3 linked regions of the Caenorhabditis elegans genome follow. The protein of the gene in region 1 purifies or fractionates together with the protein of each later gene. This does not show direct contact. Each region holds a gene or a part of one and is shown on either strand. Other genes may lie near its edges. The genes, in order: pbs-3, uggt-1 and acdh-9.

Evidence for each region.
Region 2: the proteins of pbs-3 (region 1) and uggt-1 fractionate together in Caenorhabditis elegans (co-fractionation; one large-scale study listed by BioGRID). This does not show direct contact.
Region 3: the proteins of pbs-3 (region 1) and acdh-9 fractionate together in Caenorhabditis elegans (co-fractionation; one large-scale study listed by BioGRID). This does not show direct contact.

The regions. Positions count from the first base shown.
Region 1 is NC_003280.10:4,950,589-4,959,315, forward strand, and holds pbs-3 (Proteasome subunit beta type-3), read right to left. Parts: upstream 4,840-8,727; 5' UTR 4,800-4,839; coding exon 4,747-4,799; intron 4,696-4,746; coding exon 4,298-4,695; intron 4,249-4,297; coding exon 4,085-4,248; 3' UTR 3,892-4,084; downstream 1-3,891. Other genes in the region: zyg-12 (Zygote defective protein 12), read left to right, coding at 1-849, 896-959, 1,004-1,421, 1,472-1,651, 1,695-1,804, 2,059-2,106, 2,252-2,336; ndx-3 (Nudix hydrolase 3), read left to right, coding at 3,007-3,096, 3,152-3,646, 3,691-3,828; ulp-2 (Ubiquitin-like protease 2), read right to left, coding at 5,418-5,804, 5,855-6,425, 6,477-6,579, 6,851-6,971, 7,018-7,083, 7,241-7,365, 7,415-7,706, 7,757-7,885 and 4 more. UniProt on the Caenorhabditis elegans protein: Non-catalytic component of the proteasome, a multicatalytic proteinase complex which is characterized by its ability to cleave peptides with Arg, Phe, Tyr, Leu, and Glu adjacent to the leaving group at neutral or slightly basic pH.
Region 2 is NC_003284.9:7,490,618-7,503,563, forward strand, and holds uggt-1 (UDP-Glucose Glycoprotein glucosylTransferase), read right to left. Parts: upstream 10,366-12,946; 5' UTR 10,360-10,365; coding exon 10,235-10,359; intron 10,190-10,234; coding exon 10,101-10,189; intron 10,054-10,100; coding exon 9,923-10,053; intron 9,869-9,922; coding exon 9,605-9,868; intron 9,556-9,604; coding exon 8,992-9,555; intron 8,943-8,991; coding exon 8,853-8,942; intron 8,810-8,852; coding exon 8,173-8,809; intron 8,117-8,172; coding exon 7,881-8,116; intron 7,835-7,880; coding exon 6,921-7,834; intron 6,873-6,920; coding exon 6,354-6,872; intron 6,302-6,353; coding exon 5,557-6,301; intron 5,480-5,556; coding exon 5,312-5,479; 3' UTR 5,077-5,311; downstream 1-5,076. Other genes in the region: F48E3.2 (Major facilitator superfamily (MFS) profile domain-containing protein), read right to left, coding at 1-14, 87-235, 283-471, 540-926, 979-1,109, 1,948-2,102, 2,153-2,351, 2,403-2,468; try-14 (Peptidase S1 domain-containing protein), read right to left, coding at 3,317-3,415, 3,644-3,697, 3,743-3,835, 3,922-4,037, 4,089-4,233, 4,286-4,412, 4,697-4,803, 4,849-4,947; F48E3.6 (DUF4220 domain-containing protein), read right to left, coding at 11,079-11,324, 11,373-11,549, 11,643-11,891.
Region 3 is NC_003280.10:842,983-852,851, forward strand, and holds acdh-9 (Isobutyryl-CoA dehydrogenase, mitochondrial), read right to left. Parts: upstream 5,622-9,869; 5' UTR 5,619-5,621; coding exon 5,552-5,618; intron 5,502-5,551; coding exon 5,401-5,501; intron 5,350-5,400; coding exon 5,177-5,349; intron 5,133-5,176; coding exon 4,917-5,132; intron 4,870-4,916; coding exon 4,707-4,869; intron 4,599-4,706; coding exon 4,366-4,598; intron 4,311-4,365; coding exon 4,208-4,310; intron 4,163-4,207; coding exon 3,989-4,162; 3' UTR 3,882-3,988; downstream 1-3,881. Other genes in the region: F28A10.4 (WSD domain-containing protein), read left to right, coding at 1,292-1,523, 1,610-1,765, 1,814-2,103; F28A10.7 (uncharacterized protein), read right to left, coding at 2,306-2,613, 2,659-2,704; F28A10.13 (60S ribosomal protein L35), read left to right, coding at 5,952-6,035, 6,127-6,228; F28A10.5 (Methyltransferase FkbM domain-containing protein), read right to left, coding at 6,696-7,097, 7,145-7,527, 7,576-7,672.

The sequences.
Region 1 (8,727 bases):
TCACCACTGTGATAGATGAAATGCCAGAAAATCCGTGCTTTCATGAAATATCGGAGCTTCACGGATCGCAGAGCGAACTCAATTCACTGTCAGAATCGTCTGGAAAATTGAATGGAAATGGTTCTAGTGAGCGGAGGAGTAATGCTGATCAAATTCTCGTTGACGCAGAGCTGGAAATTGAACGTTTACGGACTGAAACAGAGAATCAGAGGAAAGAAATTGAACGGCTGACTAAATCCTTTGAAACTGCACAACACGATATGTCATCAAATTCTGAATCAGGTGATATCAGCATCTTGGAGAAGCAAAATGAGGAACTCCGGCAGAAACGTCGAGAGTTGGAAGAAAAGAATCTCGAGTTGGATGCTGCTGTGGATCAGTTTAAAGGGATCGTTTTTGAACTTACCAACGAGAATGATGTGCTTCGTAGATCGGACAAAGAGAGACAGAGACTACAAACAGTGCTGGATGCTGCTCAATCCGATTTAGATGAATGGAAAACTGTAGCCAATCAATATCAAAAAGAAGCGGAACTCTCCAAGCAACAAGATAAGGAAATCAAGGAGTTGCTTTCCCAAAACAAAGCATTGAAATCGCGGCTCGATCATCATGTCAAAAGTGCAACGTTGGAAGATGCTAACAAAAATGGGATTGCTCAGTTGCGGACACAAGTTGGCGGTTTGACTGCTCTTAACACTGAGTTAAAAGCTTCTCTGGATTCAAAGAAACGATGTGTTGAGCAGTTAGAGATCCAATTGATTCAGCATAAGGAGAAAGTCAAAGAGTTGGAAGATCGAAAAGACGAATTGATTGAAGAGCGGAACCGGCTGGAAAACCAACTTATTTTCAGTTAGTTTATAAACATTCAATATCCTTAATTATTTCTGATTTTTAGAAGAAGCTGTCACTCCACGATCGCTTCATGAGTCTATGTTTGAAGCAGGAAATCTGTCGTTTGAGTAAGTTAAAAACGAACTTTCCACCGATTCTATATGCCGCCTAGACCTTTCAGTGAGAAGAACACGTTGCCATTGGAAATTGAGAACAAACGACTAACGGAGCGTATTCAAGAGCTGGAATCGTTGGAGCCGCTGAAAGGGGAGCTTATCACGCTGAAAAGTAAAAATGGCGTTTTGGAAGAGGAGAAACTATTCGCCACCAAGCAAATTGAAGAGCTCCAGCAGCAGATTGAAGATCTTCAAGAGAATCTTCTCAAGAACCAGGAACACGCTAGCGGCGACGTTGTTGGTTTAAAAATTCAGCTGGAGAAAGCAGAAGTTGAAGCTCAACAGATGAGAGAAGCTAAAATGCGTGCGGAGACTAACCAGGCTCAAGTTGATGAGATACTCAAAAAACGAACTGCTGAATTGGAGGTCAACGCGACTGCTCTGCAAAAAGCTAAAGCAGTGATTGATGAACTGGTATGTGATACATGGAAATAGGCACATTCATTAAATATTTGTATTTTCAGGAATACAATTCTCGTCCAGTGAGTGAAGACAGTATGACTTCTGTTCAAGCTTTCAAAGAAATGAAAGAAGAAAATGAGAAGCTTCGCCAGAAAGTTGAAAAATTGGAGATTGAGCTCAATACAGTAACCCAAGGATTCGAACAAGAGAATCGGCTTTTAACGAGTGCCTCGCATCAACAGGTGCCCCAACAAATTGAAAATCGGAAAGAAAACATTGTTTCAGGTTTTGAATCGATCTATCGACGAAGTGATGAGCATGAGAGCACACGCTGGATCCGAAGAGCCGCAGACTCTGTTGGATACACAGAAAATGAGTGGAGCACTTCCATGGAGGTAATAGTTTTCATTATTTTTAAAAGAGAAATCTAGAAATATTAATTTTCTCTCCCTCCTTGCGGTTTCTTATCATTTTATTTTTCTACGGTTTCAGATTTTCGTGATATTCCCACTATCTCTCTATGTTCCATACAAGGTAAATGTGCACGTCTTTTGTTTGCACGAATCTGAGTTTTAGTGTCCTTTGTGCTCACCCAGTTTTTTTGTTTCCATTGCGCCCTCAATAACACCCTCACACCACTAATTTTTAGATCACTTGCTTCCGAGACCCGTCGAGAATTGCCGACGGCGATGGCTAGGTGAGTAGGAGCACTTTGTTTTAATGTTAACTTTCTAATACGCTTTACGCTTGCACCCTTATGTGACTGATAACAGCTTTTACCACTATGACATTAACCACAATTTTATTTTTAATCTATTTTTATTCCTTTGTTTTTTTTTCAGCATTCTCGTCCTTGGATTCCTCGTCTTCATCGCCTGGATGTTCATAAACATAAACAGCGCACTGAATGCTCCTCCAAATGCCTAATCATCTCTACATCCCTTTGTTCTTCTGTATTTTCTGTCAACATCCACCATCATCATGTGTATAGTGTGCTTTACCCTCATTTGTCCTTTTTTCTCTCTTTCGTGTACAGTAATGTGCTCCCCACTTTTCTGTTTTCTTTTCGGGTATACGGCACGGGATCCGCAAATTTTCTTTCTTCTACCATTTGACAGTTCCCCCATTTAATTCCTTATTTATTTATTGTAACCTGCTTTCAGACTGATATCTATGACAGGAAAGCGGTGAGCTCCAGGCTGTGATACCCAATCCTTGCTCCTCCAAAAAGTTCAATTCTATGTCATTCTAGTTTCTAATCATTCAGTTTAATTGATTAATTTTGAGAATCTCGCGTTGTTTTCGAACACCGAGAAGTGTCTGTAAATTGTGCAACCCCCGCCTCTCCCGCCCACAATCTACAGTTTTTGGCGTTTCCTTCCAAAAACTGTACACATTCTATTCATATAAATTTCTTCTGTTCTTCTGACTCCTTGAACCCTTTATGTGTTCACAGATTTATTTTATATTTTTTGATGAAGAAGTTTTTACAAAAGATGTTTTCCATTTGTTTTGCATATTAAGAAAGGCCTTGCCTATTAGTACCTCACGTTCTCAACTTTTATTATAAAACATTTCGTATTTGATTCAGAACCAAATGAGATATGGACTCAGTGCTCAGAGGAGTCTGATCAATGTTTGTAGTAGAAGATTCTTCGGGAAGGATGCCAAAGAACAATTTCTGAAGGTATTTAATACTGCAATCATTTAGCCAACTAGAGACCAAGAATGCTCATTTTCAGAATCTTTCATCTATTCCCGCATCGAAACATCCTCGCCTAGTCTCGGATTCCGACGCGAATTCGGCAATGTCTGTTCTGATTCCGCTTGTGACTGTTGACGGTCGTGATTCTGTGCTTCTAACGAAACGATCGATTCATCTCAGATCGCATCGTGGTGAAGTATGTTTTCCAGGTGGTCGAATGGATCCAGGAGAAACTACAACTGAAACTGCTCTCCGTGAAACGTTTGAAGAAATCGGGGTTAACGCTGAAAGTGTGGAAATCTGGGGTCATTTGAAAAGTGTGATAAGACGGCAAGCGGATTTCAATGTTACTCCGATTGTTGGATACATTTCCGATGAGCGAGTTCTCGAGAATCTGGTGGTCAACTCTGATGAAGTACAAGCTGTTTTCACGATTCCAATTGATGAACTTATCAAAAAAGCCGGACTAACTAAATTCCAAAGCAAGAGAATGAAGTACACACTGCCTTCGTTCGATTCCACGGAGTTCAAGGTTTATTTTTTAAATAATTTCCGAAAAAATGTTAAGTTTTTCAGGTCCATCACAATGCTCCGAACGAGTATCTTCATTCCACCCAGCGAGTTTGGGGGCTTTCTGGTGTAATGTTGCATCAAGCATTGACCCTGCTGAATCCAGATGTCTATAAGCATGATTTAATTGTGAAATTTTTCTAATTCTTAGGATCTGTGTAGTATTTTTTTTGTTCGTAGAATTGTTGCCATAAACTTCGGGAGACTAAAGATAAAACATTTACAAGTCATAATGGGTGATAAATGTATTCTCGATATTGAAGAACCAACACAAAAGAATTTAAAAGTTGAAAAATACGGTAACCGGTCGGTCTGGGGTGTGGGGATGAGACAGGGAAAAGAGAAACAAATAAATTAGATTAAATTGTATACACTTAATGTTGGGAACGGGGAAAATTTCTCAATCCATACGAGCCTTGATAGTTGAGACGTTAACCTTATCCTTAGTGATTGTGTACACGACTGCTCCCCAACCTGATGCAGCATCACGCTCCAAGCAAGAAAGAATCGACTGAGCAGTAGCCTCGAAGAGCTCATCCGGCTTCATGTTCTCGCGCCAGAAGTCTGTAAAAAGTATTTAAATTGAACGTTAAACAAAATTCAAAAAACTCACTTTCACAAACTCCAAGCAAGTACTCTTGTCCCGTTCCGACAGCAACGAAATCGCGTGGAGCAGATACACATCCGATAGTGTCCATGCAGCAGATATATGGCTTGTTGGTGTCGTCCAAACCAGCAACGAGTGGCTCGGTGAAATAACTGCCAAAGCGGTGCTGATAAGCCAGATTCGAGATCATCTCGGACAACACTTGTGGCTTGATGTTGCGATTCTCACGGAGCTCATACAAATTCTTGCGGAACATAATTTTCTCCAAGACTGTGCGAGCATCGGATTGGAATCCAGCAAGTCCTACGTAGACCTTGTCTGTCACCTTATGCACTTTCTTCTGATCAGTTGCAATTGTTGTCATCTGCTCTCCAATACGAAGATCCGAAGCAATGCACACACATCTGAAAAGATAAGAATAAAATAATATTTCAACCATGAAATTTAAAACTTACTCGTCTCCAGCCATGGCGACGACGGTTCCACCAGTGTAGCTCATAATCGACATTTTTGAGTGTTTTTCTGGTCTTTAAGACGAAGAGATATATCTGAAATTGAAAGAGAGTGTGAGAATGTCTGGAAATTTAATAAAACAGAGAAACAATGAAGTGAAATGAGCGTTTCAATCGTTTGGCGGACATTTTGCTTACAAATAGGAAACTGCGGCAGGGAAAAGTGGGCGGAGACTAATAGCGTGCCAGGGTTGCTGAAGAGAACCTATGGAAATCGACCATTTTCTTCAGACAGAACATGAAAAAAATTAATTAAAAACGCGAATTTATCGACGGAAAAACGCATACACGGTAAGAAAACAATCTGAAGTCAAATAGAAAATTTAGAAACCGTTGCGGAGATGTGAAATGGGTGTACAAAAGGAAAATTGATGGAACAGAATATTGAAATTTTAATAAAAGGAGGAAAAAAGAGTGGAGATCAACTGAAAATATTAAATTGAGTGATCAAGTTATAAAGAAAAAATAACAATTGTCACTTTATGACGGAGAACGCAGAAATAAGGAGAGAGCGTAAAAATGGGAGGATAATAAAATCTTTAAAAAATAAATTAACTAAGAGAAGAAAATACCGGCAATTTTTGAGAGGGGAGACAAATTTTTGATCAAAATGCCTAGTAAGCGATTGGGAAGTTATCCTCCGGAATTCTGAGGCGACGAACAAGTCGAGTTATTGGCATTTCCGCCAATCCACGTGGATTCATGAACGTCGGATCATCGTTCATCACATTTCGGTGTGGCGGGCTCAAGGAATAGTGACGTGCATAATAGTCTCTGTGCCGTTTCGTACGACGTTCATTCACTGCACTATGACGACGTGCTTTCCTAAGAGCTCCTTCACGCGACAATCCACATTTGTTCTCCCTTTCGAACTTGGCGAGACGGCTTCTCGCAGGTTTATCCGCTTGTTGAAGAATCAAATTGTAAACTTTGTCTCGCATCAAGTCACACATTTTATTGGCCTCCGGGAAGAACTTTGACCAGTCAAAGTTTGGAAAATCCTGAATTAAAAGTGTTTATTTATTGTGATGTTTCATGAAGATTTACTTACGTTCACATTGACCGGACGGTTCGGATAACAGAAGAGCCCTTCAATGAAATGCAATACATAAAGTCCACAATCATAAAAGTTGTCTTGGATTGGAGTGTTTTCAGCACGAGTCACGACAACTCTCTCCTCATCGTAAATCGTTGGATTCTTCGACGCAAATTTCATTCCAGGAGCCTTAGTGTTTTCATACAATTGAGCCAAATAAATCTTGATGCAGTGACACATATGATTCTTCTTGCTTGGATCGAGACCACTCAACGGATCGAAGAATACAATATAACACTTCGGAGCAGCTCTGGAAGCTTCCTCATTCGACATATCGACAATTGCACCCGATGGATTGATAACAGCGATGACGAGCCAGTGAAGATCTTCGTTGATCGGAATGATAATATAATCTTTGGCAAGAACATCGAATTTTCGTGTCCAACGGAGAACTCGAGGGCAATTGTCTTTCACGATTTTTATGTGTTCTGGTTCGATTGGTCGTCTTTTGGAGAAGCACAATGGTGGAAGTAGGCGAGTCAGATTGACGAATAAGAACGTGTTGCACATATGCACGGATTTCATTCTGTAATTAAATTATAATTTTTAAAATCCAATGATGTTTAATGAAACTTACAGCTCGGACGAAAGCATAAATGCAATATAATTCAGCATAAATGCCATGACGCTGTCATTCAGGAATTCTTTGCGATCCAGTGTTTTGATATCCTTGACGAGCACTGAAATTCATGGATTCTATGAGGGAACAGTTACAGTAACCTATTTTGCGCAGACAGTACTTTGCTTGGTCTCACCACAATAAAGTTTTGTTAAATGCAAATAGGTATGCGCCTTTAAATAAAGTTTATATTATTATTTCTTGGTGTTTTTCAAAAATGAAAAAAATGAAAAAAATTGATGAAAATCCAGAAAAGTCTTGAAGCTACAATATTTTTTTAAAGGGGCATAACTGTTTGAATTCAACAAAAATCCGAGTAATATTAAACTTACACACTACAGGATCCATTCCCGTTGTGCAAGAGCCAGAAGGTGGGAACGTGAAAAGTTGCGTATCTGGAGGTATTTTCTCAACAACTGGTCGAGTTGGAGGCAGCGCTGCAGTCGGAGTACTCTGAAAAAAAAAATTAAATCAAAAGAGGTTTATCCACGATGCCTACCGGCAAACATGAGCCCTGTTGTGTATTTGGAAACGACACTTGGGGAAACGTGAAGTCACCATGAGCCTGAAAATTTAATAATATTTGAAAATACCCTAGAAAAGAGCCTCGGAGCACAGTGTTTTAAATTTTTTAGATGAACAAGGGAACAGAAAGAAAAATGGGGAAAATGGAGTATTTTTGTTAGTATAGGTTGATTTCGGTGAGCAAGAGCAAACCAAACCTGTTGCCAATTATTGCTTTGTGGGAATGAACTTTGAGGATAGGGCTCTAATGGGTTGAATCCGATGGTTCCGATGCTCGAATTCCCATCTCCGATGTGCAATTGTTCGAAAGAGGCGTTGTGCACTGAAAATCAATTTTAATGATTTGAAATCAGTGCCGATCATCTAACTACCAGTGTTAGGATGAATTTCATAATGCCAGTTGTCACTGAAGGCATGAAGAGCATTTGCCATATCAATGTTGTACGCTTCTTCTCCCAAATGACTTATTTTTTCAGTGAGATCCTCAACACCATCATTTCCGGAAATGTGTGTAAAAGCGACGGATTGAGTAGAATAAATAGCTCCATTTTGTCGTTGGAGAACTGGTGGAGGAGCTTGCAGTTGTTCAAAACTGACGAAATCGTTCGGTTGCTTTGTACTTTTCATCACATCTTCATTCTCGAAATTTGACGTCGGGTGGGTCTACAATTCATTCAAATTGCAGTCACAGGACGCCGAGACCTTTGACATACCATTGCGTTATCCATATCTGGCCATCCCATGAATTCTCCCATATTTGGCTCCGAATTGATCTTTGGCATCTTCAAGTTCTTCGCACAACTTCCTTCTAGCCAAACACTCCGATCATTTCGATAAATAAGCTAGAATAACTCACTGAGTTTTAGACTTAAAATATGACAATACAACGAGTAAAGAAAATATAAATTAAATGTGAGTTCAGATAGTGGTGGAACATAAAGGGCGTTATAAACACTGTGTCCGTGGCTTGGGTATTTTAGGTGTCGAAAAATAGTTGTTTCTTACCTTGAGAGATTGTTCCGTGAGTTTCCTGAAAAAAAAAGAACTACAATTTCTGGATACGATTTTCTTTCAACTTACCTCTTCTTTGCATATGATTTTTCTTGAGTAGCAAGAGATGCATGTGCTTTGCCAAATGAATTCAATACTCTGGTTCCTCGGTGGTCGAAGCCTGAAATGAGATCAAATTAATCTTGGATTCAAATATTTTCAGCCAACCGTTTGTGGCAACTGCTGTATGTTTTCGTCCATGTGGATTGTCTTCTACTCTCGCATATTGAATAGAACCGTTGTGACACACAATTTTAGATAGCTTCTGATCAGCAAGAAACTGAACCCATTCTCGAGGAGTCATTTCACTGAGTTGACTTGTCAAATAAACTCGACCGGTTTGGTGACGACGTTGTAGCTGCTCTTTGAGTGATTGTTCCCAAACGGCTTGGACCTGAAAACTTGCAAAACTTTAAAATATCATCGTATGAATTCAATCCTCACCTCTTTGAACATTAAGGACTTGGCCACATCGTAATCATAGCTGTGCACATACTCTCGGTGTTCATCATTGTATGAGATCTTCACAAACGTGTCAGGGTCATCGTTCCACGGTTTAAGTATGAATGTCAAATTCCGTGCAAGAGATTTGTTATACAGAAATGGTTTCTCGACGACATCCTTCAAGCCGGTT
Region 2 (12,946 bases), on another chromosome or scaffold:
CAATGTTATAGGACCTGAAATGTTTACTGTTGCTTCAACATTCTGCTTGTTTTCTTTTCTAGGTTATCAAATGAAACAAACCTTACCAATTGTTTTGTAAAGAGGAAATGTCAGAAAAGCTAAAACTAATGCAACTGTGTGGTTAAGAGCAAGAACCAGGGATTGCGATGCTGCACGGAAGTTGATAGGTACCAGTTCAGAAGTAATGAACCAAGCAATCGGTCCCATTGCAACACTGAAAGCAAAATCTGTGGCGCAATAGTGGAAATTAGAATAGTTTACCTATAAGAAATTCCATGAAGTATAAGACAAATGATACATCCGTATCCTATCCAAGTCCAATAATGTGACAAAATTGCGCTAAGTGAGAATACTAAAATAGCTGCGATATTTACACTGGCCGTCCCAATTAGGAGCCATTTTCGTGAATATTTTTCGACGATGAACATTCCAACAATTGTGCTCAACGAGCTGCAATTCAATTTTTATTAGTGATTGCTCGTTTGAATTCCCGCAGAGAAAGTGTAAAAATGTATCACCTCAAAAACAACATTCCTGTTGATACACTTTCCGAAAGTTCGTATGAGAATCCTGCATCCATGAGAAAGTCGGTAGAGTAAAACACAACAGGCCATACTGATGCTGTCAACTGCATTGTTGCAAGCCCCAACAAAAACCCACGACGAACTGGCTGATTTGCCATTATGTCAAAGAGTGAACCATTCTTTTGATGACCCATTTCCTCTTTCTCGAGTTTCAAGTCATTTAAAACGTTCATTTTTTCTTCCTCGTCTTTGATGTTTTGATAAAACTGCAGTGCTCGTCCCGCTTCAGTAGCGTCGTGTTTCTTCAAAAAAAGATACTTCGGAGATTCCTTGAGAAACACCGTCAAGAAACAAGCGACTGATGATGGGATAATGGATACCCTGAATTTTCATTTTTCTAATAATGGTATCTGGAATTTTATTATTTTATTACGCGATAAGCCCGACGATATTTTGACCCAGGATAGACTGCATTCCAAAGAGTCCTCCAATGAGATTAGTTATCACGAAAGCCATCTCTGCATTGAATGAAATTAGCCCTCTCATATGAGATGGTGAGCTTTCCTGAAATAGGTATAATTTACGATTTGGATCATCTTGTTGCTCGCTCGTTTTTTGTTGTTTGTCGCTTGCTTGTGTGTCGGTTTCCCATTTTCTCATTTTTCATTCTCTTTCTTTTTTGAAATGCATTTCATGGAAGAAGAAGCCGCGCATTTACTTTGTAGATGAGAAGATGAGCTTTTATGGTTGTGCTACTAGTGATGGTGTGTGCCATTAGTGGAATGAAAAAAAGAAGATGAAAAAAAGGATGGGTTTGAAATTCGAAAATTCGAAGAAGGGGTTTTTTTAATTGAATAGTTGTTTGAGTTTTACTTACTAGTATATAAAAGTATATAAAGTGTGTTTAAAATATGGAAAGTATAAATATAAAACTATTTTAAAGTATGTAAATGTCATATTCATGTTTTCGTATTCACCATCTCATGCATTTTTGAAAAAAAAACAGAAATTTACAGACATACTTTTTAAATTAATTAACAGCTTTACAATAAAAAGTTTTGGTGGCGCTGAATTGGGTGTGTGAAAATTGTTAGCTAAAACCGTAATTACCAATCGCCAAAAATGCAAATTGCCGAAAATGTTGAGTTTCAAATTATTTAAAGTTTTAAGGCGGAAAAATGCATTTTGAGACAGAATTTTCATTTTTCAAGTTTCTCGTGTCTTAAGCCTCTAAGCATGGAATATTTTGTAAGACCCTGCAGAATACTGAAATAAAAACGTTTGTCACGGCTAAAATTTCAAATTCTGCTAAGATTTTCACAATCTGGCATTTTCGGCAATTGTCAAACATATTCCAAAACCCGATGATAATTCGGATAGACTGAATACAATTTAAACTTACTTGAAATAATAGAATCAGACCATTCATCGAAATTGCTGCCGAAAGCGACATAACCAGTCTAGAAAACCCAAACATCAGTGGCATTTTCAAAATTATTGCAAAGAGCGCTATAAGGGAAGATAGCAGACTTCCACAGGTGCCAAGAAACAAGGTCCCTAAAATATTAACTGTGAAATATATCTCAACTATAAGTAATATAACTCACATTTTCTTCCTATTCTATCTGCAACGCCAGCCGATATCACGCTACCAGCCGCGAATCCAATAAAATAAATTGCAAGCATTGCTGACCAGGCCCATTCAAATTCCGAGTTTGATAGTGTATATGGCTCATTGGCTGACTCGTTGAGAAATATTCGAAAACTTCCAATAGCTGTGTTTGGATAGGCATTCGTATATCCCATCTTGAAATTTTGAATTGAAAACAAAAAGAAAAAAAAACTCGATGGTCTTACTTGAAAAATGGCAGTAATTGCAAGAACAGCAGATAATATGAGTAGTTTCCAATTGAGTTTTTGCATGTTGTCACTGGTTCTGAAACTTTTTCTGAAGAAGTGAATTTTCAATGAAAAAGAAACAACTTAAATAAGCCTTTTAACTACAAAATACTGAAAGAAAAAGCTGAGGAAATGGGCGAAACCAATGGGAAATTCATTTTCTATGGCAACACAGAACGTGTATAGTTGTAGCATAGAGTTCAAAAGAGCAGACATCAAAACGCACGGCTTCAAAGAATTTTTGAACAGACAACTCATTAATTAGAATAAGCTAAACACTTATTTATTTTCTACGTTTACTTAGTTTTTTGGGTAAAATTTTGGTAATTGTGAAGTATACCAGGTTCAAAAACATTTTGCAATACATTTTCCGTTCATTTCTTTATAAAACAATTATTTAATTAAAAACTGAAATTGATTTGTATTTCCATGCTCAAAAAACACTGATCCCGAGGATAATATGAACACAAAGGGTCACGGACACATTTTCAAAATGGTTAACATTTTTGGGCTAGGTATGTACTACACAAGTACCGAAATATAAAACATTCGAAGTAATGAGAAGTTCGTTGTTTCAAAAAAATAGAATGTTTCTTTTTCATTTTTTCTGCAACAAACATCTGATTGATTTTCAAACACAATTATTACACTAAAAGATTCTTGAAAAAGACCGATGTTCATTTAGGTTTTTGCAACAATTTTAATTGAAACCAAAGGATAGAATGAAAGATGCAAACGTAAGAATAGAAGTACAGAGCAAACACAAAATGTGCACACGAAAATCAATACGTTATAAGGGACCAACAAGTGTTTATTGCATCATAAAAACATTTATTTCAAAGGGAATGAAGAATGAAAAAGTGGAATTTAAATTAGAAGCATTTGTCCTGTGCTTCAAAAACGCTAGCCTTGTCCACATTCTCAATAGCATGGACAAATGTATTGTCGCTAAAGACAACAAATTGCATGGTCTGGAAATTGATAATATTGGAAATCCACATAATGGAGAAGATTATTTACTTTGCCCCTTGCCCCCCGTTTCTTTTAATCTCATATTTCCTCCCGAAAGTCCAAAAGATGAGAAATCAATCACCGGCGTATTTTGTTGTCTGATAAGATTCTCAACACTACAAAATGCGGTTTTTTATAAAGAATTTCTATTACGTAATGTATTCAGAATAATTGCTCGTTGATTTTACCTGAACTTCTGAGCAGTTGACAACCACCATTGTGCTGTTGTCTTCCTTGTCCATCTATAAAAATCATAAGTTTAAAGACAAAATAAGCGATAAGCCTACCTCACGCCCGTAGAGACCAGAAACAATTCCTACTTGAACATATTTATTGTTTTCTACATCCAGAACACATTCCAGTGGTGCTCCTATATCATCCTGAATTTGAACAATTACTTTTTATAAAAACTAAGTAATGCAAAGTTTGAAAGTGTGTATTTCCAAAAAACAACAAAAACGCTTACCCAGCAAACACGACCTGTAGAGTTACTGTTAACTTCTGAGAACATGAGATTTTCTGTGTCAGCGTGAACATCAAGATCCAATACTTGGACTTTGTGTGAAGTAGCGAAGTCTTCCACTAAAAATATAATAACTTATTTAGTAGCTACATAGTTTTGTAGTTACGAACCATCTTCCGTAGTTTCAAATCCAATCACTCTACATTTGGAATCTTGAAGATCCCTTGGCACAATTGTACGGTAAGTAGCATCAGTCAAGCTTGGTTTGAAGTTGAGCCGTGCAACTCTTGGTGGGTGTGGCTCCTTATCGCAAAACTATAAAAATAATTTCTCTAATAAGAGTTGCAAATACTAGAGTCTTTTTTACATGATCTTCATTAACCGCATCGATTTTCATCAGAGCCAAGTCGCCGTCAATTTTCACAGCAAGCATTGCTTTGTTCATGGTAGCAGAGGAATCCTTCTTTTTGATAATAGCTTGTGCAATAAGGTTCCTAAATAAATATTAAATTGCCTTCAAATAAAAATCCATTTCAGCGTTTCTTCTAAACCAACAGTTGCTATACATATATTTCTATAAACTATCTCTGGCATAGTTTCGTCTAAGTTTTCAATCGAAAATTGTCAGCACATTCCGCACAACAAGCCAATTCACGAATCTTTTGCGTAGTCGAATTCAGAGCAGAAAAAGTGTAAAATGTAAGAGACTATAATGCGCTATGTTCGTTCGTAAGCTTCTTATTTTGCTACGGGAATATTTAAAAATTTGAAACCATACTTTCTGGTGTCTGGGAAACATTTCGAGCTGGTTAGCACAACGGATGGAGACAAAAGAGTTCCCGTGCAAGTTGAGATATTCTTCAGTTTGGTATCCTTAGTGAGTACCTGAACATAAAACATAAAATTCGAAGCGAGTTGAGCAAGTCTTACCTTCACCAAGTACTGATGGCGTTCCCATTTTGCCGGGTCCGCAATGTACATTGAAAACACGAATGCAAGTAGAGAGGAAACGATGACCGCTCGAAACATCTTCTTTCGATCAAATGATTCGAATGAGGATTTGACCCGACGAGCATCGCATTGATATTGTTGTAATATCCGCTTTCAGAAAAATCAAGCAAATGCATTCTTTAATACACCCACACATCAAGAAAAAGAAAATATTTATTGGATAGAGAGAGGCAAAAAAATGTTTCAAAGATTCATCACAAGTTTGACAATATTTGAAAATGAAATTTTGAAAGCTCTCATAGTCAAAAGCTAAAAAATAAATAGCAGAAAAAGCGAATCGACTGATTTGGAAAAAAATATACCCAGAGTTTTGAATATCATAATGGTGATTGGAAACATTTTCAATAAATAACGGGTAAACTTGGCATATGAAAAGATTAATTTAAAGTTCCGTGTGAGAGTCATCATTTTCAGAAATGACATTATCCGAAGGGTTATCAGAAGAATGTCCAGAAATGACTTCCCGGATTTCGTCATCATACGTTTTCCATTCTCCAATAATTCTGGCGGCTGAGTCGAGCTTTGGCTCTTTTGTGAGCGGGTTGTTGCACTGAAAATTGTTAATTGTTCACGGAAATTTAAAACAGATCAATGGCACAGCATTTCAGTTGTGTTCAATCAACTTACCAAGTCAATAGTCTTTGCATTCTTCTTGCTTCCATCATCGCACCAAGTCTCACACCAAAGCCACTCTTGTGGAAGCGATTTGATCTTAACCTGATGGATCATGTTATTTGGCAAGTCTTGATCCAAGTTAGCCAGACTGTTTGGATCGCCAGATAGTCCTTGATATTGTCCACGAAGACGATCTCCGGCAGCGATTTGACGGAACTTTTGAAGATCAATAACGTAGAGAGCACTAATGTGATATCTTCTCCCAGCGAGATGGTTCGCCCAATATCCTTGCTTCCAGAATCGGAATCCGTCCATCTCCTTTCTACTTTCACAGAATGGCACATATCCGTATGGCGCATTTCCAAGATCAAACTTCATCAGCTCCATCAAATCAGCACGCACCACCTGGTCAGCGTCCACAAAGATCACCTTTTGAACATCAAGTGGGAAGAGTACATCAAGGAAAAGAATCTTGAATCCCCACATAATACGTTGTTTCTCCTTCTGCTGGTGAAGCCACCTTGGCCACTTGTACTCGATCAGTTCATACTCGAAACCATAGTGCTTGGCAAGAGTTGGAAGTGTCTCTTTGAATTGTGGCGACAGGTAGTTCTTGAGAAGCCAGAATTTAACTGGATGCTTCGTGTTCTTCATGACCGAGACAATCATGATTCTCATGAACCGTTCGTACAAGTGACCGGATGCGAGAGAAAATACATTGATCACTTCCTGGGTTTTTTCTTTGCTGCTCACCAAGCTGAAAATAACATTATGAGATTATTTCAAAAGAGTTTAAACAAAATGCTTACTTGCTAAGACTGCTCCAAACACCTTCTTCATCGTCGGAAAGAAGATTTCTCTCCTCCATGCCTTCACGTTTTTCAACACGAACTCTTACTGATTTACCAGTGAATGAGTCAATAACAACTTGAAGCACATCCTCCCCAATCTTCTCCGCTCCAACATGCGATCCAATCTTGTAAATCTCACTAGATTTTCCATCACGGATCTCTAGTTTCCAAGCACCAGGATTTGCTTTAAGTTGGAAATATCCTAAATTAGCCATAACGATTGTATCAAATTGTTTAGGGTTCTTGTCCGTTCCCAAAGTGAACTGCAGACCGCGTGGTGGTTGACCACTAACTTCGTCGAAACACTGTCCATCGAGAAGTAAGTGTTGGAGTGCAAACTCGGCAGTGACATCTCCGTTGGCTTGTTCCATCTTGATGTTATCCAAATCATACTTGGCAGAAACGGCTTCCACTATCCATGAGTCGGGAGCTTGCAGCGAAAGTGTCAGAAGTTGCTTACTGGGAAGATTATCGAACCTGAAATTGTGAAATTGAAATTGGTTTTATTAAATAGAAAGTATTCACCTGACAACATTTGTGTTCAAGTTTCCATTGTGATCGAAACTCAATTCAGAAGCAGCAGCGTATCTGTAGAATCTCTTCAACGGAAGTTCAGAGTGCTTATCTTTTGGATTCATCACAATTTTGATTTCGCAGTTTGTAACCTTTTTAATCAAATGGAGAATCGATCCGAGTTTTTGTGCTTCCATAGTGAGTGGATCAACAACGGCAAGAACGTCAACAGCTGGTCGATCCATTTCATCAGCTGGAAGTGTGACAACACTGTGCTCATCTCCTTGGATGCTAACCCATGTGCGTTTCTGTGAAGAAGCGTGCTTTCCAACGTGTCCAGCAATCGAGAAAACCGTGTTTGATCCAACTCCGTTGGAAACGTCAAACTCCCACTTCTTGAGATGAGAAGAAATAACTTCAGCACCTCTGCTCAACAACATACTTTCCAAAAGTTTGAAATCAGCAGCTTCGAAATGTTCTGAGCTTTCAAGAGGTCCAACTTGGAGAGCATTTCCAACAACAACACGGCCACCAGATGAGATATCGAGTACTTTTTTCACAATCTGAGACTCCAATCGAGTTCTTTCACAGTCAAGTTTCTTCTTATCGGCAAGGAATTTAGCAGTATCCATACCACCAACACTAAGATCGTCAAATGTGATTTTTCCAGAAATGAAGTCAGCTGCATACTCCTCATTGCTCAACTTGAGAATCAATCGCTTAGCTTGGTCCATCGGAAGAAAATCAAGAGCAGCTCTAATGTACGAAGAGATGCTGTTTGACTCGCATGCCTTTTCAACACTTTCTGGATTGAAGATGATTCCAACTCTAGAGTTGGCAGAGTTTTTCAATATTTGAAGTGAATTGTAAATGAAACGACGTCCCGATGCAGCCTCGGCGTCAGCGACCACCCATAATGTGACTGGCTGAAAATTTATATGCATTCAAACTGAACTGAAGTAAAGTTCTTACCAAAATAGAATCGGCTGATGCTTTTTGTAAGTACTTTGTAGTTTGGAGAAGACATCCAGCTTTGTCCGAATCCGAAAGGTTTTCCACATCCTTCAATGATTTGCAATCCATTGATCCAAGAATTTCAACATAGGTCTTCTTGCTTGGAGCGGATAAAATTCGCTTGTTAATTCTTGGCATGACATCCTTTTGTTCGAGAACCCAGTTTCCAACATTCATACGGTCGGTCAGTTTTCCTGAAAAGTAAAGAAAAATGTAAAGAGGAATCGAGAGTGCTTTAAAAAAAGTATACCTTCCATAATGGCTCTTTGGATTTTTGGAGAGATCTTCATAACTTCCATCATAATAGTCTCTTCAATATTGTCGCCGCGAACCCCTTCATCGTCCAAAATGAAACCGTTGAGGAGAACCTTCGGTGCCGAGTTAAGACCAGTCTTTTGCACAAATTCAAATCCATGCTTGCGTCCTTTATCATAATCAGAGTTGACTCCAAACACATCGGAGAAGCTGGCATCACTGAATTTAGCCTCGAAGAATTCTTTGATATCCTCAATAGTTGGGTCTTTAGAGCGATAGTCATCAAGGAAGTTGTTGAGAACTTTCAGTGCATCGGCATTTGAAGAGTCGATGGAAACAAAGTTGAAGAGATTGAGAAGGGCAACTCCAAGATCTGTTTCTCCACTGGCTTTAGTATCCTGGTTAACAGCAAAGATGTATCCGATTCTCATAGCAATATCGTGACTGTTAAATGTCTGCCCAATTCTAAGGAATTTCCGGCCTTCGGAAGTACTTGGATCCACTACGAATACCAAACTGAACAAATTACGTGCAATTGGTCGGATCATTCCCGGGTAGTATGGTTGGAGCATAAGCTTGACACTGTTTCCCCATTGTTTGTACTTTTTGTCAGTGTCCAGATTATTGATAAACTGAAATTGGTTTTTGAGAAAAGTATTTTCTTCGTAAGCTTACGAATGGATATCCCTCTCTGTGATCGACTGCATAAGTTGTCTTCTCATCATCAGAAGTGTCCATTCCAACAAGAATTGACAAATACTCGCGCTGAAATTTCTTTATTGTTACACTTATTTCTGTATTCATGGAAACTCACGTTAATTCCCATACTATGGAAACCATCGGCGAGTTTATTCTCTTGCTTGAGGAGATCAGCTAACTTGAACAAATCAAGGCTGTTAATATCTTGATTGATTCCATTGATGTACAACGATGTTTCTCCAACTTCAATGCTTGCCTTCTCTAGCATCTTGCGATTTTGGAGAACCTCTTTCCTTAAAAGATCTGAGACTGACGTCTTTGCAAGAGCACGAGCATGAGTTGGGAAGTTTTGGGAGTATTCCTCCAGAGTTCCAATAGCATCAGCTGGCCCTGCATTGACAATTTTCTGCGCTGCTTGGTAACTGAGATCTTGAAGTTCCCATCTTTTCAATGGAGTCAATTCGTCGGATTCCTTTAGGTTCACACGGAATGATTCAATGGCATCTACGGAATCTGGGTGAAGTTCTTTGAGAAGTTTAATGTTGAATCCAAAAAGATCAGCTTCGTCTTCTTCTACATTTTTCTTTTCACTGCTCTCGTCGACAGCCTTGTACTCCGTGTTCTTGATAGCAAGTTCTACACCGTATCCGGAAAGTGACACTGGGTGAGAATCAGTTTTCTGAAAATACTTCCTTAAAATGGGGTTTCATTTTCCATTTTAAGTATACCTTTGAAAAATGACGGAAAATGAGCTTGGTCTTTTGCAGTTTGCTCAACTTTTCCCAAGCTTTGGCGAAAGAAGTTGTACCCAGCTCTCCGTACAAAATCGCTGCCTGCTTCAAATCCTTCTCACCAAAAATATGATCCGACTCAAGCACTTGGCTGTTCGTTTTTGCGTCCTTGATCATTTTTTCCAGCTTAGTGTATTCACATGAAACTTGTTCGCCGACCACGACAAAGACATCACATTTCTCTCCATATTCAACAGCAATCTGGAGAATTTAATGTTTTTCATCTAATAAAATTCATTAGTATAAAGAAATCACCTGCTGGAAGGATTGAACACGTGGAGAATACTGGCGAAGAGCCAAAGCAAACTTGAGAAGGTCCACAGATGATGTTGACAGTACTTTGCCTGCCGTCTTGATTGTGTACTCGTATTTTTGCTCATCCGTTACTGAAAATCAAAGATATCATATTGCCGATTATTGACAATTCACTCACATTTTTCCCAATTCAATGTACCGACATCTTTGTTTACAATATCGATGAATTTTACAAACAATTTCTCATTTTCTTCCGCGATGAACTCACTGAAAAAACGCTTCGTATTTTTTCTAAGACTTTTAATAACTAACCTTGCTTCGGCTAAAAGTGACGTTGAATCCCAATTTGCTTTAAGAGATGTGTGAACTCCTTTCTTTTCGAGAGCTGCGAGAACCGCAATATGGCAAAAAAATATTAATAAACCTGTTAGGTTCATAATTACCTGGAAAATTGAAAATTTCATTTTTTTAAAGTTTCTTCACAGAAAATAGCAAGACAAATAGAAAGAAATGTGTTATTTAAAAAATAAAATTCTAAAAATGAATAGTTTGTGAATGCGTGCCAGTAATGCTGACGTCGGCTCAATAAATGCGTCAGTGATCGCCTTTGCACGTTTGGTGGCTGTGCACAACCACGTCGGCCACGCTCGCAAGGAAACATGAGGGAAGGGGGCAACGAGAGTGTTCATCTATTCAAACAAGGAGAGGATTAGAGAAAAAGGGAATGTGGAAAGAGTCTCCATAATTAGATGTCGAAAGGCTGCTCTTGAATAAAAACGTCATATTATCGATTTGGAAACTCCTAAAAATTATAATTTTTGTTAAATGCCTATGTACTGGAATATACTTTGATAGATTTTGAGTTGCAAGGAACATTAAGACAGAATACGTTTATTTATATTAAAAATATTTGACAAAAATACTGAGATGAGAAAAACTGACATTTTAAAAACCAAAAAAAAATGCATTAGAAATGAAAAGTTTTAGATGGGAAATTTGACGTGAAGAAAAAATTCCATCTGATTATCAAATTTGTATATTACTTATTTATGTACAATCTTTTGATTAAAAAATGATACAACAAATTGTAGAAAAACAAAAAAAAACGTTTTGGTTTCCCTTTAGCAACATCTTTAGAAATTTATTTAGAAACTATTCAGTTATCACAATTATCTAACGTCTCATCACAATCATCCTCTCCGACTTTTTCCCAGTCTTCATCTGAACTTGAATACTCGGATTGGTTAACTTCGTCACCTTGATGAGATATGTTGTAGTTGAGTTTATTGTACTCTTTCTCCCAATGGATATGAACACGAATGTCGTTAACCAGCACAGCATACAAATCTTTAATACTTATAGCAGTTACAACGTTGTAGTACAGGTTGAACAGCCATCGGTCCTGAAACAACGATATGATAAATGTATGCCAATTATGCTTAAAACATACTCCTGGTTCTTCTGATGGTATGAACGTTGATATGTAAGCTGTTGACGCTAAGATGCTTAAAGGCATAACAAGCGTCCAGCGGTAAATAAAAACACATTGTTCGGCTATATTAGTTACGAATGAAACGTACACCATCATCATCACAAGATTTGATATGACAAACAAGGAATATGAACCCTGAAATATGATTTTTTGAATCATTAAAAAAAAATGTGTCTAATATAAAATATCTAATATCTGGACAAAAAAAAGACGAAATTCACAACTCACTCTTGGGTGCCAATTCCATTTCCAAATAGTAACTTGACAGGCAGTACTTATACCAATGACAAGAATATATCCTACAATAAGGCTTCTTTTCCATGAAGTACCAAGTTCTCGAAGGTCGCTTGGTCTAGTTGCAACTCGCTTTTTGATGGTTGAAGCGCAAGCAAAAATACAGAAAAGTGCAGCAATTAAGGGTGCTGGATAAAACTCTTCAGGGTTCCATAGATTCTGTACCGTACTGGGTTTGCCCATGACAAAACTGATAGCTGATGTAAAAGTTATCAATGGGCCAACCAAGTAACTGTTCGAATATTGCCATTCAGCCATTTTGTGCCGAAGTCTCCTAGTAGAACGGAACACCCAAATGAATAGGAAGAACAGTCAGCAGACGAGAGCAGAAGGGGTGGTCACTTAATATGAGAAGAGGGTCGTCAACACATGACGACGTGGCAGATGTCGCTTATCTGCATCTGCTCAGAGACAAAGAGACAGGTGAAGAGAGCAAAAAAAAACGATAGAAAACTCCGATAAACATAAAGTAATTCAGTTATTCAATATTCAACCAAAAAAAAGGTTTTGTTAGGTTCGAATGTTTTGAAAATCCGAGTTGTCTCTTTTGAGAGCGTGAATAAATCGTTCCAGTTTTTATTGAATATGTTAACACTCTGAAAAACACTGGTAGTAGCTGATATCACATGCCAAATGGCAGCGTGTGAAACTTGAAAACTGAAGGAAGTGAGAAAACAAAATGTCGAGCTTCATCTAATAATATGATTTTGGGTTTTGTGCCCTGTATCATGTTTTCTTGGTAATTGTGGTTTTTGCCTGGCAGTCAGATTTTGAAGCACTTATTATACTTTCTTGTAAATATATCGTTTGAGAATATAAACCGGGATGAGATGTTCTGAATATTATTTCAACATTCAATGAAAATATTATTTTACTGAAGCCTTATTATTAAACCGGGATTTTAAACAAAAATAATTGAAATCGCAACGAAATTGCATATATCTTGGTGGAACACCCCAAAAGAATTCAGTGTGTGCAACATTTTGAATCAATATGACAATTTTGTGATCATCTTTTCAAGAATTTTGAAACCGTATAGCAAGTTATGTCCTACTGAAAATTATATATATATATATATATATATATATATTTTATTTAGTAGCATTGCATTACATTTTTCAACTTTTCTATCATATATTTTGGTTGACGTTTGTTCCATTTAAAAACTGTCAACCAGAAATGTTTGCTGATTCTTTTTCTATCGTATTTAGTTAATTTTTTATTGATATCTTCAAGAT
Region 3 (9,869 bases), 4.1 Mb from region 1:
CGATGTTGAAGAAGAGGGGTGTTCCGCTTCTTGATTCAACAATGACTGATTAATATTAATTCGTTTCTACTATATATACCCACAATCCACGTGGATGCGTGTCCTTATAATTGGAACAGATTGTTATCAATGTTTTTTTTTGTTTTTCTTTGAGTTAATGCATTGTGATCATTGTGATTGTCTATTATTGTTTGATTATTCAAGGCGATTGTACAATTTTTTTCGCCGACTTGCTCTTCGCTGATAATTTCATCATCACCTTATAATTATAACCAGCCGTTCGCTTGATTTCCTTTTTCTTATCTAAAAACTTTACGTGGAACGTTCTTTTCCTCAGATTTCTGGACCTTTTTAAGCATCATAAAATTTTCGATATGTTCTTCAAATCATAAAATTCATAACATTCTTAAACTTACCGTAAAATGTGCTGTTTCAAAATTAATCTAATCGTTTTTCGAATTCTCCAAACAAAATTTTTCAAAATTTCCAAACATTTTACACCTTTCTATAGATTTGTTAACATTCATTACATTCAAAACTAGCAAATTTTAAATGTTTAAAGACAAAAAATGAAATCTTACACTATTTTGAGGATATCCAAACTTTTTCTATAATTTTTCAGAGGGTTCTAGAAGATTTTAAAAATTTATCGAATTTCCCAGGAAATTTTAGAATATTTTAGAGTGTCTTGAATTCTTGCAGAATGTTCCCGACTGTTCAGAGTGTCCCAAAAATGGTTCAATTTTCTAGAAGATTTCAAAAACTTTTCAAAAAGTTTTCTCGAATGTTCCAGAAGGGATTTCTAATGCATCACCAAAACTTATTTCCCAAAAATTTCCATCTTCCCGCCAAAATGTTTCCCATATTTACTAAGTAGACCTTCTGAATAGGCTCCTAAAAGTTGGAAGGACATGATCCCGTTATTCTTCTTTTTCCATGGTTTTGTTCAAGTCTCAATCAAAAATAAAGATGATACCGCTTTGAATAACATCAAAACCTTATTAAAATTGGAAAGACAAGTTTTCACAGTTTAGGCTTCTTTATCACGAAGATTCCGATATTTAAAATGCAATAAAGTGATGAAAATGTAGAATGATGGAGCCTCGTTTTAAATAAAATGACACTTGATAATAGTTCAATTCTAGGAATTCAACAAAATTTATAAAATAACTGTTTGATTTTTAAAAAAATTGAAAAGTATCCAACAAATTACGTGAAAACCCAAAAAAACGTTGGATTTGGGGAACAAAGAAGATGGTCCATCAGAAATTATTGTTCACTTCTACTCAATATGGCAATGAACTCCTCTTTCGAGGAATTGTCAAAGTGTGCGAAGAGTCTTGAAGCTGGAATACATGTGCATCGATCATTAAACCAACTTCTCAATCTGAAGATTACTATGGAGATATGCAACTGGTTTGGATTGAAGCAACTCTTGGAAAAGTATTTGGATTCTGAGGATTTTTCTCAAACTGCGATGGTTTTATTGCATAGAATTCGAGTTTTGGAGATGAAGCCGACCGGTAAGTGTTTTTTTTGTGGAAAGAAAACTGAGCCACACTTTTTTTTTCAAAAAGTTGCTGCAGAAGATTTAAAAATTCAATTTCAGACCCTCGAAAGCGCTTTGCATCGGAGTCTTATTCTTCTCAAAAAATATCGAAACGTTCACCGATTCCGTATAGAAAAGCAGTAACTCTTCAGACAGACTGGATAATAGAGCCCCCATCAGTTCCTGAAAAAGTTCCTGAATTGATTGACGTTTCTGGTTAGTCATCTCTTCCAGACGACAGTATAATTAATCTTTTCACTTCAGAACTTCAAAATCTGGAACAATTTGAGTACGAAAGACTGCGCCCAACACTTATAACTCTCACAGCAAAACGGTTGAAATCGTTCATGGATCGTAATCCGGAAATTGAAAAAATCGCCGATGGGCTGTTCAGGCGGCATTGCCAGGTTGATTGCCCGGAAGACATGAAGTACAAGACAAGCACAGAAACATGGAGAACTATACACGATGTGCATATTAACTGGAAAATGTATGAAGAGGCTTTGGCACGGGATGACGTTGAATGTGATATAAGTTGCATCGATCTTGAATGAACAACTGTTTGAACTGGGTGGTTTTTTCTTCCGAGCGGCTAAATTTTTTCAGAACACGTTTTTTTTTCAACAAACTTGAAGCATAATATATAGCTGACACTAAAAGGGTTAAAAAAAACCGACGAACACACAATAAAGGTTTTATTCATTAAAAAAACATTATCTTTTTCGATTTTCAAGTCGCATGCCTAAATTGCATAGATCAAGCAATTTTGGAGCGTTTTGTAGCCTCATGGGAAACAGTGTTCTCCTCGCAGATGTCTTCAAAATGCTCACGATCCGGATCGTCTTGTCCGACTCCGGTACGCCAACTCGTACAGCAACAAACGACACTTGCAGCGACGGATACAATTATACAAATAATGACGACAAAGAGCATGAGGATGAAAAAGCCGGTGTTTCCATACCATCGGCAGTATCTGTGCTTGACGCAGCATTCCAGATACATAGAGTTAGTCCTCATGCACGTGTCGTCTTCAACACAATCATCGTACTCCGAAGAAAGAACATCTGAAATAAAAACGATGCACGCATTATCAAGACTTTAAAACTTACATTGTTTACAGTTCTGAGCGCTCTCACTGCTGTCGTACCAAGCCATTATAAAAACGTAAAAATTTAATAAATCGGCAGAACTAGAACTGATCAAACTAGGAGATAATGGACAAAACAATTAGAAAGACACGTCTTTTATTTATTATTAGAAAACGTGAGAATATAATCTTTACAACTGCATATGTTCGATCATTACCAGTTGTATCTATCGGTTTTTGAGAACTTGCATCATGTCGCTGTTTGATAATTCAGATCTTGCCGAGAAATGTCGATCATGTAAGTTTTGAAGATGTACCGACACTAGGCGCTTTTGTGACAACAAAAAAGTAGCAGCCGACATTTTAAACCCATTTCTGAAGATAATAAATCTAGCAGCCGAGTCCCAGGGCTGCTCTGCTAAATCGCTTCCCTGCAGCGTCCGACCTCTCACGAGCTTTTTTCTAATGAATCTCTATTTCGGACACCGCTAGCAGCGACTACTGTCTTGATGACGCCTGCAAAAGTACCAACGCTCTCTGGAAAGAATGCTGTGAGCAGACCAACTACTGCGAGTGGTACATGACGGTTGAAGTTGCAATTGCCGTCATTTGCATTCTAGTTTTTCTGTTTTTCTGTGGAATTGTTGGATCCATTGTTTCCTGCGTTTGTACCGGAATTTGCTGCTGTGCAAGAGCTGCTGCTGGAGAAGACGGCGATCTGGAAGGTTTAGAGCTAGATTATGAAACTGAAAGTTTGACAAAAGATTCGGAACTCAAAATGTCTTAGAACTATAAATTTATTTTTTGAAACAATAAATCATTTGAACCCAATTATTAGAATTAGGTAAAAACGTAGTTTGGTAAAATTGTTGCCGACAGTTGACAGGATCGGCTTTGAAACAATTGAAGTTGAGCACCCCAAACTTTTCGGGCAGTTTGGATCAACTCTTGAGTGAATATCTACGACCAACCAATGAATGAAAATGATCCATGTGCTCGTGTTCAAGTCTTTGAATGGCTTCATGGAGTTGCTGAGAATCCACCAAAATTTATCGGTCCTGCTTTGCCAACTGGGCCAAAATATATGAGCCTACTCATTACCGGGATCAGGAACGATGCTTGGTTGTGATGTTCTAGGGACGTGAAGCTCCTATCCACACAGTGAAAAGAAAATTGTGATAGAATATGCTTACAAATAAAAGAGCATTAATTTTTAGTCTTTAATTTCGTTTTTGTGCAGAAAAAAGGAAAATCTAAAACATTTATATTCAATAAAAGTTTGTAATAAATAGCAAAATGCCATGAGCAATTGGAAATACCCATTTCTAAAATTCCTTGGAGACAAATATGGCTCAGGAGCTCCAGAATACATCCTTAGTGAGCAGGTCCCTGCTAATCAACAATCTCATCATTTCATTGGTTCCTTCAAGGATTTGGTGAACTCGGATGTCGCGGAGGTACTGTTGAACCGGATAATCTTTCAGGAATCCGTAGCCACCGAACATCTGCAGAGCTCCGTTGACGACCTGGAACAAGAAACTTTGTCAAATGTCGGCTGAAAAATTACTCACATCGAAACAATTATCAGTGGCGTGAAGCTTCGCCATTGCACAAAGAGCCACCTTCTCCGGATCATCATTGTCTAGTTGCTCCGCGGCGTTTCTAACGATTAGTCTGAAAATAAGTTCAAATTTTTTATAAAAGTTTCTAGTTGACAAGAAAATCTCACCTGCTAGTATACAATTTTGTGGCGAGCTCCGCAAGCTTGAACTGGTTATACTGGAAGTCTGCCAAGCTCTTACCAAATTGTTTTCTATATTTCAAATGTTCAATAGCTAAGTCCATGCTCCTTTGAGCAGCTCCTAGTGAGCAACTCGCAATGTTAATGCGTCCTCCGTTGAGCCCAGCCATTGCGATGTTGAAGCCGAACCCGTCTTTTCCAATTTGATTAGTGATTGGTACCTGGAAAATGGAAAATGGAAATTTATACAAATGCTCAGGGCAATCGTTTCTTTTATCGGAAAACAGTCAATTAATACTTCTTAAAATTAAAACTTCTAAAACGCTCACCTTGCAATCCTCAAAAGTCAAAATCCTTGTTGGTTGTGAGTTCCACCCAAGCTTATCCTCCTTCTTCCCGTAACTGAATCCCTCAGTTCCATCCTCAATCATAAGACAGAAAATTCCCTTGGCTCCCGGAGCTGCACCATCCTGCCGCATCATAACGAAGTAGCTAAATTTTTTACAATATTTAAACAGAATATCTCAAGAAAGACCTACTTATTTGAAGTTCCTGCTCCACTGATAAAAGCTTTCGATCCGTTGACAACATAATAATCTCCTTTTTTGGTAGCCGTGGTTCTGATGCTTGCGGCGTCGGAGCCCGCGTCTGGCTCTGTGAGACAGTAGGATCCGAGCTTTTTGAAAACAGCCATGTCTGGGAGCAAGTCCTCTTTAAGCTTCTCCGGGCCGTAGGTATCCAGCATCCAGGCGCACCTATAAGATATATAGTTCACTAGTTTTTTTTAAAGCTAACTTACATATTATGAATTGAAATATAAGCTGCCGTCGACACGCATCCCATTGAAAGCTGCTCAAAAATTACTGAAGCATGAAGTCTAGAGAGCCCGGATCCTCCATGGTCGCCACTGCAATAAATGGCTCCGAATCCCATTTCTCCAGCTTTCCGGAGCACGTCCATCGGGAGCTCTCCCTGAAAAATTTCAAATCATTTTTTAAAAGAATGTTTTTGGGAAAATCTTACCTGCTTATCCCAATCTGCCATTTTTGGGTACATTTCTTTCTTGGCAAATTGATGGGCGGCTTCCAAAACATCTTCGACGTCGCGTTCGAGTCCAACACCCGCTGAAAGTATATTTTCTTAAAAAATTGAACTTGTAAAATATAAAACCTACGCCTCAAGCAGTAACTGCTGGAATTTCTGAGCCGAAGACCTTTGGAGAGCACATTTCGTAGCAACATCTGCTGAAAATTTGAAAAAAAAATCAAACGAAAATCACGAAAACCGAGAGCACGTGGTAGAAGAAAACTAAAGTGGACTTTTTGTCCGTTTGGCAGGCAAGAGAGGGAGAGATAGAGACGCAGTGAGAGTTGCAGGCAAAATATGAAAGAGACGCAGAGGGGGAAAGTGATAGTTTGATCGCATCGAGACAACTGACGAATAGAAGGAAAGAGAACGGTGGTCAGTGATGTTTCCTCCTTTTGTTTCTTATAGATTGACGTATTGAAATTTGAAATTAAAACTCTGCAAAACAAGAGGGCATAGTCAAGTAGGAATATAGCAACTGGCAAATCATGGGCCTCAAGAAAAAGATGTTTTATAGAAACTGCAAACCTCTTGCAGACACTAGCTTTTCGAAAAAATTGAAAAAAAAATTTGTAAGTTTTCAAATAAAAATCCGATCTGACCCCTTAACCTCTATTTGTTCTATTTAGATTAAATCTCAAGCCTATATGAAAGAGATTTCAGACTTCAATCAGAGTCAAACACCAATTAGTTCTTCCGGATGCAGTCAATGCTAAAACATTTGTGATGCGTCATCAAACATCAAGGCGTCTGCAGCAGCTATGATTTCACCGACCTTTTTCATATGAATCAAAAAAAGTTTTGTATGTTAAAGTTTTTTTTTGTAAAATCAATATAAAATGTTTGGCTTGAACAATCTGTGTTTGGTTATTGTTTCATTTTCAGATGAACTAGTGAGTTTTTTGGGTATAGCTTTGCCTTGAAAAAAGCATAAAAAGGTCAAATCAATGATTTATTATTGTAATAATTTTTTTTCAATATAGACTTTTGATTAAGAAAAAACGAATTCTACTAATTTTCCATCAATTAATAAAAGCTGTGAAACTCAGTGAAAATTAGATGCTGCAAAATTGAGTCAAAAAGAATTTCAACTAGAAACGGATAAAGCCGAAAAATATGAGTACACGTTAATAAGCACTGATTTGGTTTAGTGTCGAAATAAAACCAAGAATTCAATTTACATAAACTTTATTTAAAACACAAATAAAATAAAATAAAAACAAAACAAAAACTCATACAGTTACTGGTGGAATGATGCTGGCCAACGGAGTAACTTCAAACTGTGCCATACAAAAGTCGTTGATGAGACTGTACTCACAGCATGCCTCGCAATATGGGTTAGGGTCCACGTTGAAGATACGGAAGCCGTATTTTGCCATGGTTTGGAGCAGTTCAAAGTGATTCAACGGGGTTCCATGAATTTCAATGAAGATCTGACAAACAAAATAGTCCTTGATCAGTGGCTCCAAAGCAGTGAACTCTCCATTTTCAATATCCATTTTCAACAGCTCAATCTCACTTCTACCAGACTTCTCGAGCATCGATGAGATGGGCAGATTGTCCGGGATTTTTCCTACGAACAATTGGCCATTGATATTCTTGTATGACTCTTTCGTCTTTTCGTTTTGTTCTCCCTTAATTTACAGAGTGAATATTTAAAATTCAAACGTTTTAAACTCACAATATCTGCTCCAAGTATGATGCATTGCTTCCCTGTAGCTTTGTGGATGTGTTCATCGTATTCTATTTGATTGTTAAGTCCCAATGACATCAACGTGCACCCATTTCGAACCATTTTTGGATTGCAAACATACTTTCCCCCGTCTCCTGACTCTCCAATTCTTTCCATATTCTCACAATGAGCTTCCGTCTTCACCTTCGCGTAAAAGTCCTTGTTGTCATTTAACTTTGCTGCAGCAATCAGTAGCTTCCGGGCCTGATCCGCAGATTTAAAAGAAGATTTGCGGACCTCTTTTGCAGAATGGGAAGTGTAAAGAGCTGCTGGGTTAAGCACTCGAGCTTGTCGTGTGAAGCTCGGCAAAGAGCATTGTTCCAATTTACGATCTGAATTTTCCCGTGTAACTAGCATAACTATGATCTTTTGAAACTTACTGATTTGATTGGACGTGATAAAAATAGACACTGAAATAAGAAGCAGCAGAACTAGCAAGAAGATGCTCAAGGAGCTCGAATTTTGTTTACGGAGCATGCCAGTCTTATCTTAAACAGTGACAAGAATCGTTGAGATGACGATGAATGTAAACTAAGGACTGACAGAGAAACGGATCAGTTTTTGGGTGTTTTCACGTGAAACGTGTTTGTGATTTTATAACTTACCAGCCGTTCGCACGCGCCAAGGCGCGTGCTCCGTCTGGCTTGAGATTTTTCCAAAAATTCACATAAAAATTATTGTAGTTTCTAGATTTTTAAAACATATTTTCAGCTTGGTTTTTGAATTTTACAACTTGAGGTTGAAAACAGCATTGAAACAAATGTCATGTTTCGGATTATCAGTGAGAATATGAGATCTTCTCTTATTGAGTTTCAGTTTAAAATATTTGGGAACAAATCGTGAATTTGATATAATTTCAATTTAAAATTACTTTTTTGAATAGTGTTTGTTCAAAACTATTTCACTTTGACAAATAAAGAAATGTTGTATATTGTTATTGGTCGAAGTTCAATCGCTTCCAGCATGGCACAGCTGGTAGCGCGCGCCATTGGCGCGCGGACCTTTTGGTTCGATCCCCGCGAGGGCAAAAAAATTCTAAAATAGCAAAAGTGTTGCTGAGAATGGTCAAACTACTGGAGATGTCTAGCGAGACCCAGATAAGAGCAGAGGTGCTTCTGAGAGGGTTGGTGATTCAGGGGTAGTGCGAGCACTATCTCCTGTCTCTTATGTGGCACATTGTTGTGTTTCTGTGGTTATAATAATACTCTCTCCCCCCATACTCCTACATATGGGGGCGAGTGAGAAGGCTGGAGTTGTCGAGCGAGACCTCAGAAGAGAGCTGAGTTGTCTAGCGAGATAGCAGAGAAGAGATGAGTTGTCGAGCGAGACCTCAGAAGAGAGCTGAGTTGTCTAGCGAGATAGCAGAGAAGAGATGAGTTGTCGAGTGAGATAGCAGAGAAGAGATGAGTTGTGGAGTGAAACCTCAGAAGAGAGCTGAGTTGTCTAGCGAGATAGCAGAGAAGAATAATAAGCTTTATTCAAAGAACTTCATTAAAAACGATATTGGTGACAATATTAGAACTGAATTTTACAATAAGACCTTCTTTGGTACGAACTCTTGATAGAGCAACATATAGTTGTCCATGAGTGAAAACATCGGTGGGAATCCAGAGACCGATTTTAGAAAAGGATTGTCCTTGGGCCTTGTTGATCGATAATGCAAATGATAAGCGAACTGGGAACTGTGTGCGCCTGAGTTGGAAAGAGATGTTCTTATCATCATAGCAATCGATTCTTGGAATGATTGTGAAATGTCCTTTCCTCTCGCCAGTTGCAAAGCGACATCCAAGTGAGTGACTGGCCAATGTTTCGACAATGAAACGGGAACCATTGCAAAGGCCAGCGGAAACATCGAGATTCCTGAGCAGAATGATCACTGAGCCTTTCTTCAGCTTGAGAATATGGGGAGGAAGAGATGATGGGGACATCTTGTTGAGAAACTCGGTGGGATAGTGCATAGTATCCGCTTGATGTTCCACGATCACTTCATCTCGTGACAGATAGATTCTTTCCTCGCCAACCATTCGATTGTGAACATCGTCATTCAGTTGAGCAACGTCGACGTTCTTAGGTGTAAGGATGACGTTGTCACATGGATCAGACGTGGTTGGATCGATAACTGCTCCGAACACTTCCTCGACGATGTTGTGATCGCACATGACAGAGAGTGGGAGTGTAACCTTTGAATCAGAGTCATTTGCAGATCCATCGCCAACATTGAGGAGGAATTGGATCCAATCCGAGTCTCCAGATGTTACTCTCATATTTGAGATGAGATGCAAAATTTGAAACTCTGTCCATAGTGGTGATCTTTTGATGCATGCGTCTACTTGATCAGCTCTAGAGCTTCTCTCCACCACAGGTAGGATTTGGCGAAAGTCTCCTCCGAGGATCAGGATCTTCCCACCAAATGGCTGATCGATCTTTGTGAGATCCCTAAGCAGTACATCGACCGTGTCGAGGGCTGTCTGAAAGTTGAATGAATGATTTGATTAGTACGATCAGAATCACTCTAATACCTTGGGAACCATTGATGCTTCATCCCAAATGAAAACGTCGTTCTCCGCTAGCTCTTGTGCTTCTTTCAATTGCCTCTGATGAAGAGAAGACTTGCATTGATTTCTAATATCAAGCTTGAAAAGGGAAGCGGATGTTCGACCGAGTGGGAGCAAAT